Linked DNA regions of Tribolium castaneum. The protein of the gene in region 3 interacts with the protein of the main gene of each other region in a biochemical or structural test. Links are inferred from orthologs where the notes say so. Each region holds a gene or a part of one and is shown on either strand. Other genes may lie near its edges. The genes, in order: Fs(2)Ket, probable nuclear transport factor 2 and nuclear pore glycoprotein p62.

Region 1 (3,762 bases), on a different chromosome or scaffold from region 3:
CAAGGGCTTAAGATAATTCTCGTTAATGGCCGCTTCGGGAATAATTTCGCAAATTCGGCCGAAAGTCCAAGCCGCAGTATCTCTCACGATAACGCTACTATCATACATCAGCTCTATCAAGGTTGGCATGGCTTGCTCCACCAATGGTTTAAGAGTGGTGTTATCTAACCCGCCAAGAATCGAGCCGAAAGCCATAAGCGACGCATCTCTAAATCGCCAATTCTCAGACTTTATGTTTTCTTTGATAAAAGGTAAAACGTGTGGAACAACTTCGTTTTCGCAGCATGTGGCCAAAAGCATTAAACAAACGCCGGCAGCTTTGCTCGGGTTCCAGTCGTCTTCGTCATCGAGCTCTTCTTGCTTCGTTAGTTTTTGCAGAAGGATGGGTACGATAAATTGGAGCGCACCTTTGGCGTAGTGGCGTGATACTCTGGAAGAAATATTCGCTTAACTGACTGACGGTTGAGTCAGCGTAACAGGACAATGAATAATCTCCGTTCTAATAATAGGCTTGTTGACTTAACACTTATCTATTTTTTGATGTTTCAAACGCAAATTGTGAAAATCAAATCAAAACAAGGCTTTTATCGATCATAAAAATACCAAACTAAAGTTAGCAACACAAAAGCATCGTTAGTTTAATTTGTGTTTATAAAAATCTGACTAGGTTTATGAAACTACTACTAATCTGATTCTTTTAATAGCATGGCAAAAGCCGTAAAAAGATTATTTATTCTTGTTAACATTTATTGTGGGAATTCTCTGACCGAAGTAAAAACAGAAAAACTTAGTTATCTAATGATATTTAACGATTAGCTGATTAAGTTACGAATTTATCATATCGCTCACAGACTGGATTTCACTTAAACGCATAAACAGGGAATTACAGTTTTTACTAATAGTCATTCCAGAAATGATGCTCTTACCTGGCTGGGGGCCGGCCTGCATCCGCTGCCTCATTGGCTTCGATGGACAAATCCACTTCTTCGTCGCTAACATTCGACCAAAATTCAATACCTTGAAGCGCCACGGCATCATTGTCAGATTTCATCGCTTCTAAAGTAATGGGAAAGAGAGCTTGGCCCATGTAGGGCTCCATATATTGATAATACAAAGACATAATTTTAACCAAACATTGCAACGCTGCAACTTTAATTTGCGTATCTGGCGACTGAGTGGCTTCGCACACCACCTCCATGATGAAATTCCTTTCAGTTGCCTTTTCGAAGTTAGCTTTAGTGAATTCGAGCGAATTTAACAACGCCTGCGTTGCCGCAAATCTGACATGATTGCTGGGCTCTGTGGAGCGCATTCCGTGGATGATCGCCGTGAGGATGTCGTTGGATTGGGTAACGAGCACGTCTGAGTCGATTTCCTGGCAGATGTAGCCGATGGTCTCCAGCGTTGCTTCTTTCTGCATTTCGGTGGAGTTTGGTTGGACTACGTTGTTCACTAGCGTGACGATCAGGTCGGGCCATTGGTGGTGCGGTAATTCGGTGACAGCGATGTAAGCCACGCATTGGGCCGCTGACGAAGGCCGGTTGGTCTCCGTGCCCAGGGCCCCTACGACCTGGAGAAAACGGTCGAAAAAAACACTAACAAAACCGGTATATAAACAATTACGTTTTTCTTGACGTAGTTGCGTATCTCCTCCGGTGCCGACAGCCATCTCTGTTGACATAACTGTTTGATGTTGGGATCTTTGGACGTGAGTTGGTTTTTCAGTTGGAGACCGGCGGCCATGCGAGCAACGGGACTGTTGCCCCCATGTCGCAAGATATCGGATAGAGTCTTGATAAATTCTAAGATATTAGCGGCGGCAGCTTGCTCAAGAAATGTTGATGCTTGCTCCAGTTCATTTTTATCTGGAAATCGTCAAATAGGCTGTGATTAACGGAAAATCACTGAGGATAATGACCTCGAAAAGTGTGAGGTTATGATGAAACTTTGCGAGCTTGAGGGCTTGAAAAGAGTTGCATTTTGGGAAAAAGAGCGACCGACGTTTCGACGCCGGTGCGGCGACATCGTCAGGTTTTTGGTTTAAGCCCTGACGGGGAGTTGCTTGGGAATTTCGTAAAATGTCAAAGCGGGTTGAAATTTATCGAAAAGGCGGAAATGAGGCGGGGTTGAGAGGAACGTGCTTTTTGATGATTAGGCATGCGATTATATGGCAGTGGTTAAAAAATGATGGCAACTTGTCAAATAGTCAAGTTTTGTACTTACCGGGAGAAACAGTTTTTTCTAGCACTTGTATAAGTCGGAGTGTTTCTTGATGCATTTTATTGTAGAATTACTGACTAATATTGTAAACTTAACGGTTTTAATTAATTGGTTCTTGCAATCAGCCGGCTAACACCACATGGACATGTAGGATGATTAAACTGGCAGGAAGGCTATATTCATACGCTGCTGCTAACGTATGAATGACGGTTCCTTATCGTTATTTCAAAACTACGGCCAATTTCAATCGTTGTTTACCCAAATTATATCAAACAGCGGTTCACACAGTTGTAACAATTTACTTGAAGCACTTTACGTTGTAAATTAACTTGTGATTTGTCACTAACGATAATAAACACTTATACTGTATTTCAGTGCGGAGACAAGATGACCGTTAAACCGATTTGCTTTGCGCGCATTTTCTTAATAGGTTTCTGTACAGTTTACAATGATTACTGCTTTTTTTGATAGATGTCGCAACCATTTATGTTTCTAAGCCAACTTTATAGTGCTTATTCAAAAATATAATATAGGATATTACATTGTTTTTAGTCCCATTTTACTGCAGCTGACGGTTTTTATGATAAACCAATTGTAAATATAACTTGAAAAACAATTTAATGAACTATTTTTCAGACTTTTGACTGTATATATCCCTTTAACGATTCTGTATAAAAATAGGATTCATTTTAAACATAATTGGCCACGCCTATCAATATTTAATTGACTAAAATAACAATATAAATAATTATTTTCTCATTTTTTTTTGACCTAAATTACTTCTCCTGCTCAACGTTTGATTACTATTCATTTTAGTCATAAAAAAAATTCAATTCAAATTATTATTATTATTATTATTATTATTATTATTATTATTATTATTATTATTATTATTATTATTATTATTATTATTATTATTATTATTATTATTATTATTATTATTATTATTATTATTATTATTATTATTATTATTATTATTATTATTATTATTATTATTATTATTATTATTATTATTATTATTGTTATTACTATTATTATTAAGATGTTTCATTTATTGCTATAGGGATGTTAAAAGTGGGTTTATTTTAAAATTAGGTAAAGTCGAGTACTTTCTTCCTGGTGAGCAAAACAAGTTTAGAGCAGAGTGTAATGCATTGTTTCTTGGGTGTTTTGCGAGCACTTTGTGTTATTTTGAACGCACTTAGCTGCACAAACCTGATGGTATCTTGCATACTGTGAATTTATATTTAACATGTTGCGTAGACACATGCATTTCCATTAAAAAAGAAACCACCTGATCGAAGAAAAGGTGAAGGCTTTAGGGAGTAATTAATTGTGGTCATTAATAAAATCTGTAGAAATATGTGGCTTGAGTGTAAGTAACTTCGTAAATATGGGTTTTACAGTGTCCACCACCTTTAATTGCCTTAATAAAACCAATTTAAAAGTCATAACATTCGCCTTTAATATCCAATAAATAAGAGTATAAAGTTTTTCTTTGGACAAACAAACAACTTATGAGGACAGTCGTACACAATAAAG
Region 2 (2,475 bases), on a different chromosome or scaffold from region 3:
TTGAGGGCGTCACTAGTTGCGCAAATATCCTCCAAATCGACCATCCCCATACCGACGGCGACCCCTGTCCGGAGCTTAACACTGTCAGGGGGGCTCACAAGGCCGGAATCGGTCAAGGCCTCGTGGGCGGCAAGGAGGGCGTAAGCGGTCGCAGCCCCCATTGATTTGAGTTCGGTTTTTTTGAAACGGGAGGTTAGGTCGATTCGAGCCCCCTTTTCTTTGATCAAGCCGGCGATTCGGCACGGCAAGGGGGCGTACGCGGGGCCCTCGAGCTGGGAAATGCCCGATTTGCCCGAAGTTATGGTCGCCCAGGCCTGAGTGAGGTTAAGGCCGACGGGGGCCAGGACCCCCATGCCCGTCACGACGACTCGGCGCGTCATTGTACAAATAACTGGTCCAATCGTCGTGTCTATTAATTAAGACATGGTATTATCGGTTTTTTATTAATAAATTTTGCAACAAAACCTCACTTAAAGTTAGACGTTTTGTGGTTTAGTTATTTGGGTAAAGTATTTATTTGAGGCCTATTGGTAAATTTCAATTGATATTCGAGTGTAATTGATTCAAAACTAAGTAACTGATCAATTGATTATTAACACAACTACAAAGTAATAAGTTAAAAAAAATAATTTCGTCCATTTGCACGTTTGAGTTGATGTTGCATGATTTTGGCTATTTTTATATTTATCTCACGGAAAAAACATCTGAGGTGCCAAATGGAACACCAGGGTGGTTAGGCGATTAAAAATTGATTGATTGTGGATGTGGGGTTTTGGGAAAAAATACAATTTCGGTTTAAACGTTCGCCCTTTTGCGCTTTCGTTCGTGGCGCCCATTTTGACATTCGCCAGCCGACGGTTGAGTGGGGTTATATCAATCCGGCTTAAAATTGCCATAATTGCGAGAATTCGGCTCTTTTCTCGACGATGGCGTTAAATCCCCAGTACGAAGCGATAGGAAAAGGGTTCGTCCAGCAGTACTACGCCCTTTTCGACGACCCGAACCAGAGGCCTACTTTGGCAAACATGTACAATGTGAGTGAGCTTGGGCGCCTGTAAGCCCCCTAATTGCGTTGTTTCCGCAGATCGAGAGCTCGTTCATGACGTTCGAAGGCGTCCAATTGCAGGGATCTGTGAAAATAATGGAAAAATTAACGGTGAGTCTGCGCTTTTTGCGTTCCAGCAGATTGGTCAAGTTCTCGTTGCAGAGTTTATCATTTAAAAAAATTAATCGAATTATCACAGCGGTCGACTCGCAGCCGATGTTCGACGGCGGGGTGCTAATCAACGTTTTAGGTAGATTACAGGTAAGCCCCCTTTCGCACTTCCTGGAGACCTGAACATAGCATTTTGATAGACTGATGAAGACATGCCTCATGCGTATCTTCAAACTTTCGTCTTGAAACCAATAGAAGGGAGTTTTTTTATTCAACATGATATATTCCGACTTGTCCTTCATGACACTATTTAGTCAAAGAGGCAGTACGTATTCGTGTTGCTTTCACTGCCAGTTGTTTCTTGCATGCTCTCCGCAGCTTCCTTGATAACGACAATTACCATGGTTACGTTCGTTTGTTTAATTTCGTAACTATGGTAACGTGCCTTTCTCTAATCAAGAAAGCCATGATTTTGATAGGTTTTTGATTGGTGTTTTCGGATTTTCAGGCCGACGAAGACCCCCCGCACGCATTTTCCCAAGTATTCGTTTTAAAACCTTTAGGAAACTCATTTTTTGTCCAACATGATATTTTCAGATTGGGAATCCACGACACCGCTTAAACCACTACTTGTTTTACCATTGCTTCATCATTAAAATAAAATATTTTATAAACTTTCAGACAATTTATTAATCACAATCCAGGTACAACACTAGGCAAGAATCCTCTTTGCGCGCTTCTGTGATCCCCCAAACCCCTTCAAACTCCTCATCGCCATTGCCTTGTTAAAATGCCGTTGCGTCTTCACTTCTGCATACTCACCCTCGCCCATATTATCCACAGACGATAAAATCACCAACAAAACACCTAAAACCTGGAAAAAAGCTCGGTCAAAGTGACCCATGGTTTGCGAAATCAAGTTGGCAACACCCTAAAAACACGATTAGCATTTTTTTGGTTTGTTGCCAACTTATTCCACTCAAACCAACCTCTCATTCTGACAATTATTCAAATATTTTGTAAAGTCTGCAAAACTCTAGTAACTCAGAATTGTGCATAAACAGAAACGCACATGATCATAATAGAAAATACACAGAAACGTAATCTAGTCATTGTTTCTGGAGATGCACTGTTCTGTCATTGTGCGAAAAAATCGTCAAAAGCGCCAAATTAAATTACCAGGCAAATAATTATAACAAGTGTGTAGACATGTATGCTGGCAGTCGGCATCGTCTCCATCTCCTTAAGTGCATTTTGCGCCGGTTCAAAGCCCGGCTTTAGCTCCAGCGTGTGTTTCAAATGAATCGAAGCCTCCTGAT
Region 3 (3,762 bases):
CCCAAAATGGATCACCACACTATCCCCAAAATCGGGTTTACGTCAACGCAGTGCAAACCCGGCACAGGTTTTCTGCCAACAATTAATACGAAAAAGGCCGTGACACTCGAACTGTGCCACGGAAACGACAAACAAGTCATATCACTGCCTGCGGATCGTCTGGATCAGAACAAGCGATACTACGTCACATTTACAGTCAAGGGGAATGAAGGAAGCCCCCCAGAGGAAGAAACAAAAAGCCACAGACATTCAAAAAGCGACTAAGTGCAATATCTTGTTAGATTTATTGTTTGATATGAGAAATTTGTACAAGGCGTTATTGTATAGAGGAAATTTTAATAAAAACGTTTTTCTTGTAAGTCTCATGTAACTGTGTAATCTGTTCCAAATGAGAGCAAATCTGAGACGAGTTTCTATCAATCCACTGGAGCGAATTCATGTGGGCATTTAGAATGCGACTGACTTGAATGACCTACAACATACACACATGATAGGATAGTGAGTCGAAACAAAAATGTGGCCAAGAGTGCTGTGAAGTAGGCAGAGCAGTCTTGACAACATTTGTTGACACAAACCGGATCAGTAATATCTTCATTTTTGTTAGACTCGTTCAAATGTTCCACAATTTCTTTCAAATCCTCGGACATTTGCTTCAATTGGGAGTCAATTATTTCAGACAATTGATACCTAAAACACCCACAGAATGTCGAATATTTTACTGTAATAAACAATTACGTTTGGAATCTATTCTGATCCGTGACTGGAATATCAGTTAATTGTTTCTCTAGAGGAAGACTCAACTCATCTAATTCATTATCTTGAGCTAATACGAAATCAAGCTCTTGGTCTAGTTGTTTCTGCTGCTGTTTCACACGCTCAATTGTTTCATTCAAGGCCAATATTTTATCAGTGTTTGAAACCAACAGGTTATCCCAAGCGTTCAGCTGTTTTGTTTGATTAATGAAGAATTTTCCTTGTTCTTCCAAGTCTATAGTCCATTTGTTGATACAGTCCTCTAGCTGAGCATAGGTTAAGGTACCAGAAGTTGGCAGACTTGCTGCTGTTGTGGTGGTCACAGCTGGCGCTCTTAAAAATTATACGAAACATATCAAAAGTGCTGTAAAAATTTCCCGGACGTATGTTCATAAACTCTTATATTTAATGAAATATCAAAACTACAATATAATACAAATCAGGAACCAGGTGGAGCATTGTCAACGCTGATTTTAAGTTTGTTAAAAAAAAAGATTTCAAATATTTTAATCAATATTTTACGCAAGATATGGTTCAAAATTTGATAAATTCGACATACAATAATAAAACGGTACGAATTAAACGCACAGTAAAAATAATAATGTCTAAGTATGCAACTCGCATATGCTCGTTGTATAACGACAGCCCTCGAACTTTAACCTAGTGTGTTCGCACTCGTATTATATGATCAAAATCGAATTTATTAATAATCTTTTTATTAGTACCCTTAATAAAATACTAGTCAAGACATACTTTAACTAAACTTTCACAGTACTCTTGATATATGTTATTATAAACTGTGACACGCATTTGCGCGGGTTAAAAGTATTTATAATTAGAGTACATACTGTGTAGTAGCTGTAAGCCCCCCTAGGCCTAAACCAGAGGCTGATGTTGTTGTTGTGCTTGAAGGGGTTAGGGTTGTGGTTAGTTTCAAAGGTGCGGAAGTTGCAGCGCTGCTTGCCAACGAAAAACCTAAATTTAAATCGTGTAAAGACTACAAAACCCTAATTTTTTTAAACCTGAAGATAGGGATGTCCCTGTGGACAAAATAGGAGTAAACGAAGTGGCAGCGGTGGTAGTGGTTGAAGCACTTGTCCCTAGACTGAACTGCGGCGTAGTCGTCGAAGTCGCAGCTAAAGTTGACTAATTATTACATAAATTTAACAAAAAAGGGTTACTAACGAGTTATTGTAAAGCTGGGAGTTGAGGTTGCGCTTGTTGTTGTTAAGCCGAAACTTACTGACGCTGTTGTTTTGGGGGTTGTACCCAGGAAAAACCCGGTACTGGTCGTAGGAGTACCGAATAGATTTGTTAGTGGTTTGTTAGGGGTTTGCTGTTTGGTATCGCCTGCACCGCCCGTAGCTGTGGTGGCTGTGTAATAAAAGGGTTAGTTGCGTTTTGGTTAGCAAAATGTCTTACGTACTGGCAATTGTGCTAGTGGTAGGTAATGTGAAACCTGTAGCCGTTTTAGGGGCACCGAAATTGAAAGACATTTTCAGAAAATTAGTTAGCTTCAAGTAGCTTCACAAAATTTATAGGTTAGCTTGACGTTAAATTTTAAAACGATGGTGGCGGCACTAGTGGCGATTGAGGGAAAGATGGATTTTTTAACCATGGCCTCATAAAATTTAGGAAGGAGGAAAATTAAGTTTCAAATTATAATCATAAGTGTCCGTTGGCGTTTCTAGTGTCATAAGCTTCCATATTCCACTTTTTTATAACAGAAGGTTTTATCTTTATTTTTGTTACCCGTAAGTAAAGTCAAAATTGTATAAAAAAAACAAAAAAAAAACAAAAAAAGTGGAGAGAATTAAATTTTCTCTAAAAAGATCCGAAAAGCCAAATTTTTATCTTTAATAATAAGTTTAAATTGTTTTAAAGTGCAAATTATTTTCCATCACTCAAACATTCAAACCATTAAAGATGATTCCGCAAACTTTTTTGTGAGAAATTTTAATCTTCTATAACTTTTTAATTTTTATATCTTAAACCCTATAGACCGCCTTTCAAAAAAATATAGGACGAAGGATAATTTAAATTTTTGTCATTACTATTTTAGTTGGTAGTTTTTCTCAGACTATTAAGAGATTAATATATTAAGATTATTAAGATGCTTACGAATCAAATTAAACAATTTGAAAAGGGGAAGATCTACAGTGTCTCAAATCGCTCTCATTTAAACTCCACCCTAAATTGGTGAGTTACAGTGGAACTCGGTTATAACGAACACTCAAGGGACTTCAGAATTTGTTTGTTATGTATTATACCCGATCGTTTGTTTTATCCGAACATCGTCGTTTATAGAATAGTTTTCAAGTCAACTGAATTCTAAACGTGAAACAGATACACGAAATAAAGTATTAATTTAATTTATTAGAAAAGCATATTTATCTACATTCATCTATGTTTAATAGTTATCTAACAATTCAATAATTTTTAGTTTCGTATCCTAAATTTAAAGATTTCTAATTACTTGGTCTGTTTATGTGCCTGCTGGAATGTCGCTGTAAGTGCATGTAAGTGCTGTAAGTGCATGTGCGTACGTTATAACTTATAACTTATAACCGAGTCCTAGACCACTTTTTTGTCTAAATTTCGAACGTTAAAAGTGAAGTTCATATATTCACTATAACCGAACTAATTTGTTATTGTAGTGTATTAAGTACTGTACCTATATAGAAAAGGCTGAGTGAGGTAGGGGGAAGCAAGTAGGAGAATGACGAACGGGCACTCTTGCTTGTCCCGTCGTGGTGTTAGGAGTGAATAAACAATTATTTGGGGAAAGTGGTATTTTATTTAAAAAATATTACAGTTATTATAATATAAATATAGGGCTTTAAAATATGAGTTTCCATTTCTTCGTTAAGTTGCTTCCACACCAAAGCTGATTTGGTGTGGACATGCCGCTCGGCCATAAGTTACATGCCACCGTTACACGTAAAAAAAGCCGATCATGCCGATTAAGCTTGCCAATCGGACTTGCCGATCGTCATAGTGTGGACGCAG

What was found.
Region 1: the proteins of nuclear pore glycoprotein p62 (region 3) and Fs(2)Ket form a complex in vitro, tested with the Homo sapiens proteins (2 studies listed by BioGRID). The link is inferred for Tribolium castaneum from reciprocal best matches to the Homo sapiens genes NUP62 and KPNB1.
Region 2: the proteins of nuclear pore glycoprotein p62 (region 3) and probable nuclear transport factor 2 form a complex in vitro, tested with the Homo sapiens proteins (3 studies listed by BioGRID). The link is inferred for Tribolium castaneum from reciprocal best matches to the Homo sapiens genes NUP62 and NUTF2.

The regions. Positions count from the first base shown.
Region 1 is NC_087398.1:2,430,861-2,434,622, forward strand, and holds the start of Fs(2)Ket (importin subunit beta-1), read right to left. Parts: upstream 2,616-3,762; 5' UTR 2,279-2,615; coding exon 2,224-2,278; intron 1,866-2,223; coding exon 1,624-1,865; intron 1,571-1,623; coding exon 927-1,570; intron 431-926; coding exon 1-430.
Region 2 is NC_087395.1:25,834,530-25,837,004, reverse strand, and holds probable nuclear transport factor 2, read left to right. Parts: upstream 1-788; 5' UTR 789-926; coding exon 927-1,034; intron 1,035-1,084; coding exon 1,085-1,156; intron 1,157-1,207; coding exon 1,208-1,306; intron 1,307-1,356; coding exon 1,357-1,470; 3' UTR 1,471-1,481; intron 1,482-1,664; coding exon of another isoform or gene 1,665-1,778; 3' UTR 1,779-1,831; downstream 1,832-2,475. Other genes in the region: 3-oxoacyl-[acyl-carrier-protein] synthase, mitochondrial, read right to left, coding at 1-380; tetratricopeptide repeat protein 17, read right to left, coding at 1,869-2,030, 2,336-2,475. UniProt on the Homo sapiens protein: Mediates the import of GDP-bound RAN from the cytoplasm into the nucleus which is essential for the function of RAN in cargo receptor-mediated nucleocytoplasmic transport.
Region 3 is NC_087396.1:18,040,995-18,044,756, forward strand, and holds nuclear pore glycoprotein p62, read right to left. Parts: upstream 2,352-3,762; 5' UTR 2,250-2,351; coding exon 2,180-2,249; intron 2,128-2,179; coding exon 1,939-2,127; intron 1,890-1,938; coding exon 1,776-1,889; intron 1,729-1,775; coding exon 1,602-1,728; intron 1,087-1,601; coding exon 736-1,086; intron 688-735; coding exon 576-687; intron 473-575; coding exon 317-472; 3' UTR 265-316; downstream 1-264. Other genes in the region: ankyrin repeat domain-containing protein 12, read left to right, coding at 1-264. UniProt on the Homo sapiens protein: Essential component of the nuclear pore complex. The N-terminal is probably involved in nucleocytoplasmic transport.